Linked DNA regions of Macaca fascicularis. The protein of the gene in region 1 binds, or shares a complex with, the protein of each later gene. Links are inferred from orthologs where the notes say so. Each region holds a gene or a part of one and is shown in the gene's direction. Other genes may lie near its edges.

What was found. Proteins that work in one complex are often made in the same cells at the same time.
Region 2: ERC1 (region 1) and liprin-beta-1 share a complex: the UniProt entries of both Homo sapiens proteins name them as parts of the cortical microtubule stabilization complex. The link is inferred for Macaca fascicularis from reciprocal best matches to the Homo sapiens genes ERC1 and PPFIBP1.

Annotation. Positions count from the first base shown.
Region 1 is NC_088385.1:1,802,643-1,808,035, forward strand, and holds the start of ERC1 (ELKS/Rab6-interacting/CAST family member 1), read left to right. Parts: upstream 1-1,964; 5' UTR 1,965-2,064; coding exon 2,065-2,733; intron 2,734-5,393. Other genes in the region: uncharacterized protein, read left to right, coding at 1,913-1,964. UniProt on the Homo sapiens protein: Regulatory subunit of the IKK complex. Probably recruits IkappaBalpha/NFKBIA to the complex. May be involved in the organization of the cytomatrix at the nerve terminals active zone (CAZ) which regulates neurotransmitter release.
Region 2 is NC_088385.1:30,424,026-30,428,630, forward strand, and holds part of liprin-beta-1, read left to right. Parts: intron 1-197; coding exon 198-326; intron 327-1,810; coding exon 1,811-1,961; intron 1,962-2,643; coding exon 2,644-2,755; intron 2,756-2,871; coding exon 2,872-2,960; intron 2,961-4,605. UniProt on the Homo sapiens protein: May regulate the disassembly of focal adhesions. Did not bind receptor-like tyrosine phosphatases type 2A.

The DNA of each region.
Region 1 (5,393 bases):
CTGGAGTGCAGTGGCACGATCTTGGCTCACTGCAGTGTCCGCCACCTGGGTTCAAGCTTCTCATGCCTCAGCCTCCTGAGTAGCTGGAATTTCAGGCACCTGCCACCATGCTTGGTTAATTTTTGTGCTTTTAGTGAGATGGGGTTTCGCCATGTTGATCGGGTTGGTCTCGAACTCCTGACGTCAGGTGATATACCCTCCTTGGCCTCCCAAAGTGCTGAGATTACAGATGTGAGCCACCGCACCCTACCAGGAAAGAGGTTTAATGGACTCTCAGTTCCATATGGCTGGGGAGACCTCACAATCATGGCAGAAGGCGAATGAGGAGCAAAATTATGTCTTACATGGCGACAGGCAAGAGAACTTGTACAGGGGAACTCCCATTTATAAAACTATCAGATCCCATGAGACTTACTACCGCAAGAACAGTAGGGGTAAACCGCTCCCATGATTCAGTTAAGTACACCTTGCCCCACCCTTGACACAGGAAGATTATTACAATTCAAGGTGACATTTGGGTGGGGACACAGCCAAACTATATCACTCACTGTTTTGAAATATTACTTTTAACATATATTAAATTTCCGTATATAATTTAGACCCTGTTTTTGGGCTAGTACTATACAGTTTTCATTACTATAGTTTTACAAGGCTACAATACTTTATGAGAAACCTTGCAGGTCAGATGTGATTTTGTAGTCAGGAATTTTTTCCAGTAATACTTGGTGGGCATTATGTAGTATCCAGTAATCACACACATTGTTTTCTTAATGAAATGTATGAAGTCACACTATGTGGGATACATATAAACAGTAAGTAAGCTCGGGTCAGGTCCAGTTTTGCTGCTAGATGAGTTAAAAGGAAAAACTTATTTTCAGAGCTTTTTTGATTTTTGCAGTACAAATAAAGAATTACGGATTTGTAATTTATCTTGCTGTTGAGGGCTGTTTTCCTTCTTTGTTCATCTGTTTTAAATTGTTTGGTTACTCTTGTATCTTTACTCTCCATTTGAATTTTAGAGTCAGTTTGTCGAGTTACTTGAAAAATCCTTCAACACCTGTGAAAGGAAGGGATCTACAGCTGGTTAGCAAAATCCTGTAGAGATTTTTCATTGGGATTGTGCTAACTAGTTGGGGAAGAACTGAATCTTAACAGTGTTTGTCTTCTCGTCCATGAACACAGTTAACTTTTCTTTTGTTTAGATGTTCTTTTATGTCTTTCAGTAAGGTTTTAGTTTTTTTCCCCCAAAATGCTTGTACATTTTTGTTGATTTATATCAAAGTGCTTTTATGGTTTTGCTGCTGTTGTGAATAGGATTTAAAATTTCTTTTAAATTAAAAACTGCATTTTCTAGTTGTTACTGTTGATTTATACATGAAAATATTGAAATTATATTGATATTGAGTCTGACCAGTTTGTTGAGTTCTGTTATTCTAATAACTTATCAGTTGATTATCTTGGGTTTTCAGTTAGAAAATCATATATTCAGACATTGATTTTAATCTTTTCCTTGTCAGTCTTTATACTTCTTGTTTTTTTTTCTTTTTCTTTTTCGTAGAGACAGGGTCTTGCTATGTATCCCAGGTTGGTCTTGAACTCCTGGCCTCAAGCGATCTTCCTACCTTGGCCTCCCAAAGTGCTGGGATTATAGGCATGAGCCATTGCACCTGGCACTTTTTGTTTGTTTGTTTTCCAGTTGCATGGTATGTTTTCAGCATTCAGTTTTGAGACATCTAAAATATCTCTAAAATATTGTTTACTATGAAGTACCTTATGCTGTAATCACATTCTGAATGCCTGAGTAAATACATGGTAGAAGGGCTAGATCTTCTTTAAGTGGGGGTAGTGGAACGTTTCTGAGAAGGGAAATATTTATTATTGGAGGATTTAATGTGTGATCTTTTCGTTACAGATATGATGTAAGATACTTCTTCAAGATTGGACAGCTGGGGACCTTCTTCTAATTAACCTTAAACCGACTTACAGCCATAGAGACACCTCACAAAGTTCCCATTTTTCGTTGTTGTTGATTTTTTGCTTTACACCTTTTCTGACCTTGCAACCATGTATGGAAGTGCCCGCTCTGTTGGGAAGGTGGAACCGAGCAACCAGAGCCCTGGGCGTTCACCCAGGCTTCCACGTTCCCCTCGCTTGGGTCATCGTCGAACCAATAGTACAGGAGGGAGTTCGGGAAGCAGTGTTGGAGGTGGCAGTGGGAAAACCCTTTCTATGGAAAATATACAGTCTTTAAATGCTGCCTATGCCACCTCTGGCCCTATGTATCTAAGTGACCATGAAAATGTGGGTTCAGAAACACCTAAAAGCACCATGACACTTGGCCGTTCTGGGGGACGTCTGCCTTACGGTGTTCGGATGACTGCTATGGGCAGTAGCCCCAACATAGCTAGCAGTGGGGTTGCCAGTGACACCATAGCGTTTGGAGAGCATCACCTCCCTCCTGTGAGTATGGCATCCACTGTGCCTCACTCCCTTCGTCAGGCGAGAGATAACACAATCATGGATCTGCAGACACAGCTGAAGGAAGTATTAAGGGAAAATGATCTCTTGCGGAAGGATGTGGAAGTAAAGGAGAGCAAATTGAGTTCTTCAATGAATAGCATCAAGACCTTCTGGAGCCCAGAGCTGAAGAAAGAACGAGCCCTGAGAAAAGACGAAGCTTCCAAAATCACCATTTGGAAGGAACAGTACAGAGTTGTACAGGAGGAGAACCAGGTAAGTTCTACGTGTGTGTTTAACTGTATTGGCTGAATTCATGTATGTAAATGAAATAGCCTTTTTTTTCCCTTTTCCTAGATTCTTCCCTTCGTAGTATATGTATCTTCCTTTTTCCTATTTATTTTACTATTTTGTGTCCTCCATTTCTCAGCCCTTTCCAAATTTGGTCCTGTGCCCTGTTTTTTTTTCTAGTTGCCCATGTCTGCTTGCTTCCATTCTTGCTTGGTTCTTTTCTCTGGTTTCTGTTTCTCTTCGTGTCTTTCCTTTCAGCATATGTGATTTTTTTTTTTTAAATTCTTCTGAGGTTTTAATTTTGCCACACACTGTAATATCTTTTACCAAATGTATTTAGACTAGGTAACTTAAGTGTAAGGTATACCATTAAGATTTGTCATGATGTCAAAAAGTCATTCTTAAAAACAAAACAAAATGACTATCACAAGATAAATCAGTGTTGTCAGCTGAGAACAGAAATTACTTTTAAAGAGTTAATATTGGCCGGGTGTGGTGGCTCACACCTGTAATTCCAGCACTTGGGAGGCCGAGGTGGGCAGATCATTGAGGTCAGGAGTTTGAGACCAGCCTGGCAACATCGTGAAACCTCGACTCTACTAAAAATACAAAAATTAGCCAGGTGTGATGGTGTGTACCTGTAATCCCAGCTTCTAAGGAGGCTGAGGCAGGAGAATCACCTGAACCTGGGAGGCGGAGGTTGCAGTGAGCTGAGATCCTGCCACTGCACTCCAGTCTGGGGTGACACCATGAGACTCTGTCTCAAAAAAAAAGAGTTAATGTTGATGATGTGTTTATTAAGTATGAACAATAACTATCCATTTTGTTGCCATTCATGAAAGTTTACCTTCAGGATGCTTTTGTAGCTTTTTGTTCTTTAATTCTTTACATTTAAGGCAGAGGAAAGGCGACCTGGTGTGATTGTTTGCTTGTAGAAAATAAGTGAGATGATTGGGCTTTATCATCATGGGGCTTTGCAGTTTGAGAGCTAAGTGCCGTCACATTAGCTGCAGGAAATACTCACTTATTTTTCTGTGCTCCTCCAGGTTACAGTTGATGTGTTTGGTGATAGCCATGTCACATTCAGTGAGGAAGCCGATGACTCCAAAGATGTGAACAAATCGTATTCAGGCTCTACCAGTTAAAATGTTAAACATACTTTTTTGTTTTTGTTTTTTTTGAGACAGAGTCTTGCTGTGTCTCCCAGGCTAGAATGCAGTGACACAGTCTTGGCTCACCGCAACCTCCACCTCCCAGGTTCAAGTGATTCTCCTGTCTCAGACTCCTAAGTAGCTGGGATTGCAGGTGCCTGCTCCCATGCCCGGCTAATTTTTGTATTTTTATTAGAGACGGGGTTTCACTGTGTTGGCCAGGCTGATCTCAAACTCTTGACCTCAGGTGATCCACCTGCCTCGGCCTCCCGAAGTGCTGGGATTATAGGTGTGAGCCACCATGCCCGGCCCATACTTTTTGTTTAAAAGACTTTTAGAATTTTTCTCTCTTTACTTTTTTTCCCCCTATGGTGCAAGTTGTGTGTACTTTTAGAAGTTTTCTTAAACTTGCAAGCTTGAATTTTTTTCCTTCTTAAAAAAGCTGTCTTATACTCTTAAAAGGAGAATATTTAATTAACTACCTCATTGTTGGTATTACACTTTATTTTTGGATTAGGTTACTCAAAATTATAAAGAAAGCAATTGAAGCCGGGCGCGGTGGCTCAAGCCTGTAATCCCAGCACTTTGGGAGGCCGAGGCGGGTGGATCACGAGGTCAGGAGATCGAGACTATCCTGGCTAACATGGTGAAACCCCGTCTCTACTAAAAATACAGAAAACTAGCCAGGCGTGGTGGCGGGCACCTGTAGTCTCAGCTACTTGGGAGGCTGAGGCGGGAGAATGGCGTAAACCCGGGAGGCGGAGCTTGCAGTGAGCCGAGATCACGCCACTGCACTCCAGCCTGGGAGACACAGCGAGCAATTGATATCAATTTCTGCATTCTTCTTAAATGATACCAAGAAGTAAAGAAGCAATCAGAAATTGTCTGTGTCTCTGATGAAGGAGTCGTCTGCCACACAAAGCTGTTTAGGTCCCTGATGGACCTAATGTGTGACTATGGTCCCATAAGGTTACAATATAGTATTACCAGGTGTGGTAGCTCGCACCTGTACTCCCAGCACTTTGTGAGGCTAAGGGGGTGCGGATTGGTTGAGTCCAGGAGTTCGAGACCAGCCTGGGCAAAATGGTGAAACCCTGTCTCTGCAAAAAATAGAAAAAAATTAGCTGGGTTTGGTGGTGGGCACCTGTACTACTTGGGAGGCTCAGGCAGGAGGATCACCTGAGCCTGGGAGGTCGAGGCCACAGTGAGTCGAGATTGGGCCACTGTACTCCAGCCTGGGTGACAGAGTGAGACCCTGTCTCTAAAAACAAAACAAAGATTATAATACAGTGTCTTCACTGTATCTTTTCTATGTTTAGATGTGTTTAGATACACAAATATTTACCATTGTGTTGCAGTTGCCGACAGTTTTCAGTACAGTAACATGCCGTACAGGTTTGTAGCCTAGAAGCAGTAGGCTATATCCTATGTCCTGGGTGTGTGGTAGGCTGGACCAGATGTGTTTGTATGAGTCCACTTGATGATCTTTGCACA
Region 2 (4,605 bases), about 29 Mb from region 1:
CTTATGGAAGGAAGTTTGGATTATGATGTGGGATTTATTAACTCATTGGGTCTTAGTTAAAGTTTAAATTTAAATGTCTATGTTAATGACACAAAGAAGATTAGTTCCGGTAGCTGCACTAGTTAAAAATTCTCTGATTAACAAGCCTAAGGCCTCCTCAGGTCTAATACTGGCCATGTGTGTTATGTCTTCTTCAGACTTAGGAGAAGTCAATCAACTACATTCAACCCAGATGACATGTCTGAGCCTGAATTCAAAAGAGGAGGGACAAGGGCAACCGCGGGACCCCGACTGGGTTGGTCTCGAGACTTGGGACAGTCTAACAAGTAAGAAGAGCCAACTGATAGACTTTTGCATCTCTGCCAAGCATCATAGCCTCATGAGTCCTGCAGTGTTAGTACTGTCATTGGGTTAAACAAAGTCATTGCTTAATGCTGTGCCTAGTGAAAGGGGACATCATCTTTAGAGCAGTGCAATTTGTCAATGGTTGATGAACATACAGAAGGTGAGGGCTGTGTGAACTAGGGGAGAGGCCAGAGCTAAAGTGTCAGCAGCATCTGTGTTAGAATGGCTCTGAAACTTAAATTTTACATAGACGGTAATTATAAGTACTCTAAAGCATAGCTTTGGAAAGATGGGATATTTACATGAGAGTATGTTCTAGATCAGACCACTTGGATTTGCTTTCTGGCCTTACCACTTTCTACCAGCTGGGTGACCTTGAGCAACAGCTTCCAGGCCCTGTGTCTCAGTTTTCTCATCATTCATAATTAGTGCCTACTCCAAAAGCTGATTGTGAAGATTAAGTAAGTTAGTATGTGTTAAATATTTGGCAGATAGTAACTACTCAAGAAACATTAGTATATAACAGAATCTATGAAAGTACTTAGAGACAAAAATTCTATCAGAATCCTTATATTTATCAGGACTATATAATATTTTATCCATTAAGATTCTAAGAACTGCTCTGACACTCTTACCAAAGTTGAGGGCTGGCTTAGAACTGCTACATTGACTCACTGTGTATAAAAGGGTGGGGTTGGCAAACATAAAGTACAAGGCATTGATACCAAATATTTTAACAGTATAATAGACTAGAAACCCTTTAAATACAGCCCCTCCCATACAGGTGGAACACTGGACATAGGTTACATCAAGGAGGAAACCCTCTTTGGCCTTCTTCAAATACCAAACAGTTTCATTTGCCATATGTTGTCTTTGAACACAGTAGAGCTCCTTGTGCTATTTAAAAAAAGCACATTCATCTTCCCCTCCGCACCCTGTCCCCACCGCGGAACAAGAACACTATCTGTGTATCTTAAGTAAAAGAAAACAGGAATTTTGCTTTGATTGTTTCCTACACTTAGTGACAACATATTGCCCTCTTCTAATTGGTTACCATATGGAAATAAACCATAATTCTGCTAAAGTTAGTTCAAATTAGACTTAAGTTTCTTTCACTCCAACTGAGTTTCCTGTTTGGGAATCCAGTCTTCAGACAACATTGGTTGAAACTGATACAGTGACTTACGTTTTTCCAATTTAGTCTTTTTCTGTAGAACTTGTTCTTGCTCTGTCACATTAAATCTTTTGTGGTTTCATTTGAAATGAGACAGTGGTCTTAGAAGATAACTTTCAACTCCAGTACCAGTTGTTCCTCCAATGTATACTAAAAATTAAGCTTTTCGTGGTCAAATGTGTATCACCAGGGAATGTCCATGTCTATTGAATGTATAGTTGTTTAAAACTCATGATAAGCCACAGGATTGGCTTTGGATTATTTTTCATGCAATTACTCATTTTCCTGTAGTGACTTGGATATGCCATTTGCCAAGTGGACCAAGGAGCAGGTTTGCAATTGGCTGATGGAACAGGGCTTGGGCTCCTACCTGAATTCTGGCAAGCACTGGATTGCATCTGGCCAAACGCTTTTGCAGGCTTCTCAACAAGATCTAGAGAAGGTGACTGCTTCTCTATTTTGTTCACACAATGGATACTGAGAAGAAGACAATGTGAATGTAGGGTTGTTTTATAGTCCAGAAAAGGCCATGAGTGAAGCCAGTAAATACTCTCTAAATAAAAATTTGGGTTTTCAATTGCTTCATGCTTATTTTTTTCTGATGGTCTTGGGAGGACCTGGTCTTGATGATTCCTTATGGAACACTTAAGCCATTGGGCATTTTAATGAAAAATAATTACATAAGCATAATTAAGTTCATATTTCTTGAAATCATTATATGGCTTTATCATTGGCCTATTTTCTCAGTGTAATATATGCAATGCACTTTGCAAAAGGAAAAAAAAGCACCCTACAATTTATGTCTAATTATTTAACATTTCTTCACAATTATTTAATATTTTGCACAAAATAAGGGTCAAATTCTTTTTATGCATGCTACAGTTCCTAGCTTACAAAGAAAAGGAGTCACTAGGGAATGCCTAACACGCCCCTAAGCTAATTGTGGTGGTCTTGGCTTTTCAGGGACCTTCGTTCAACAGCACTTTACTAGCGCAAGTTAGGATTGTCATTTAGTATTGAATTGGATCTTTAGTGCTAGCTTCATTTTGGAGAAATTTGCATCCTTTGCCAGTGGCACCCAGCCTATATAGATAGAATTATAAAGTCAATGTTTATTGTTTCAGGAACTTGGAATCAAGCATTCACTTCATCGAAAGAAACTCCAGCTGGCACTCCAAGCCCTGGGATCTGAAGAAGAAACCAATCACGGGAAGCTGGATTTCAACTGGGTCACTAGTAAGAAGTTTTTATTCTAACAAAATGGAAGAATTATATACAGAGCTGCTTTTTCTTTTTAATCACAAGAACAGGTGTTTTGTGGCACGGTAGCAACACTGGCCTCTCTCTTTTAGGATGGTTGGATGACATTGGCCTCCCTCAATATAAGACCCAGTTTGATGAAGGACGGGTTGATGGTCGAATGCTACATTACATGACTGTTGTAAGTGACTCACTCCTGGGGTTTGGGGGAAGAAAACTTTTTTCTCGAAAAATGCAGAAATTGAGTAAGCCAAACACAGTGTAGTGATTACACCAGAGTTTGAAGCTGTTGCTTGAACTTGAGGAGAGTGGCGGGCATATTTCCTGTGAAGTTGAAGTTGTAGCATTTGGTGATTGTGACTGAACAGCCTTGGGATAATTTGAAACCCCAATTTAAGCTAAGTGAAGCCTAATTTAAACTAAGCTCTCCAGAAAGTTGATTTTATATGTAATACATTCAACAATGTAAACACTGAAGTGTATACTTTGAATGGGTACATTTTATGGTATGTAAATTATATCTCATAAAAATATATATATATATTTTTTTATTTCTTTTGAGATGGAGTCTTGCACGGTCGCCCAGGCTGGAGTGCAATGGCACAATCTCAGCTCACTGCAAGCTCCACCTCCCAGGTTCAAGCCATCCTCATGCCTCAGCCTCTTGAGTAGCTGGGACTACAGGCCCATGCCACCATACCCAGCTAATTTTTTTGTAGTTTTAGTAGAGACGGAGTTTCGCCACGTTGGCTAGCTGGTCTCAAACTTCTGACCTCAAGTGACCTGCCTGCCTCGGCCTCCCAAAGTGCTGGGATTATAGGCATGAGCCACCACGCCCAGCCCAAAGATATTTTTTAAATAGAATATAGAGTTTTTAAGCCCAAGCTGTTTCTAAGTTATGCGTTTCTATGTGCAGTGACCATTTGGAAGAGCCCACCCTTTTGACCTGACATCTTCCAGGACTTGTCTTCTCCCTACCTTTCCACTCTGGACAACTGTTACCTGAAACCCTATCACCCGTCTCACTTCAGCCCGGTTCTGCTACAGCAGGAGTTAACTGGGGTTAAAGGAGGCGGGAGGAAGGCTAGACTTCCACTCTGGTTCCTTCATTATGGTACATTTCTAGCCTTCCAGCCAGTGTGTAGGACTATTCCCTGCTTGACAGCAGTGGGAAAGATGGATTCCAGGAGAACTTTGTTTTAGGTTCCATACCACTATTAATATTCTACTTAAAATTCTCTTATTTTATTTTTTTTTTAATTTATTTTTAATTTTTTTATTTTTGAGATGGAGTCTTGCTCTGTCGCCCAGGCTGGAGTGCAGTGGCGTGATCTGGGCTCACTGCAAGCTCCCCTTCCTTCCTGGGTTCACGCCATTCTCTTGCCTCAGCCTCCCGAGTAGCCGGGACTACAGGCACCCGCCACCAATGCCCGGCTAATTTTTTGTGTTTTTAATAGAGATGGGGTTTCACCGTGTTAGCCAGGATGGTCTCCATCTCCTGACCTCATTATCCACCCGCTTCAGCCTCCCAAAGTGCTGGGATTACAGGCGTGAGCCACCGCGCCCAACCATGTTCTACTTAAAATTCTTTTATTCATTTGTTTATTTTGGAGACGGAGTCTCACTCTGTCGCCCGTGCTGGAGTGCAGTGGCGCAATCTCCGCCTCCCGGGTTCAAGTGATTCTCCTGCCTCAGCCTCCCGAGTAGCTGGGATTACTGGTGTGCACCACTGCACCCAGCTAATTTTTGTATTTTTGGTGGAGACGGAGTTTCGCCATGTTGTCCAGGCTGGTCTGGAACTTATGACCTCAGGAGATCCACCTGCC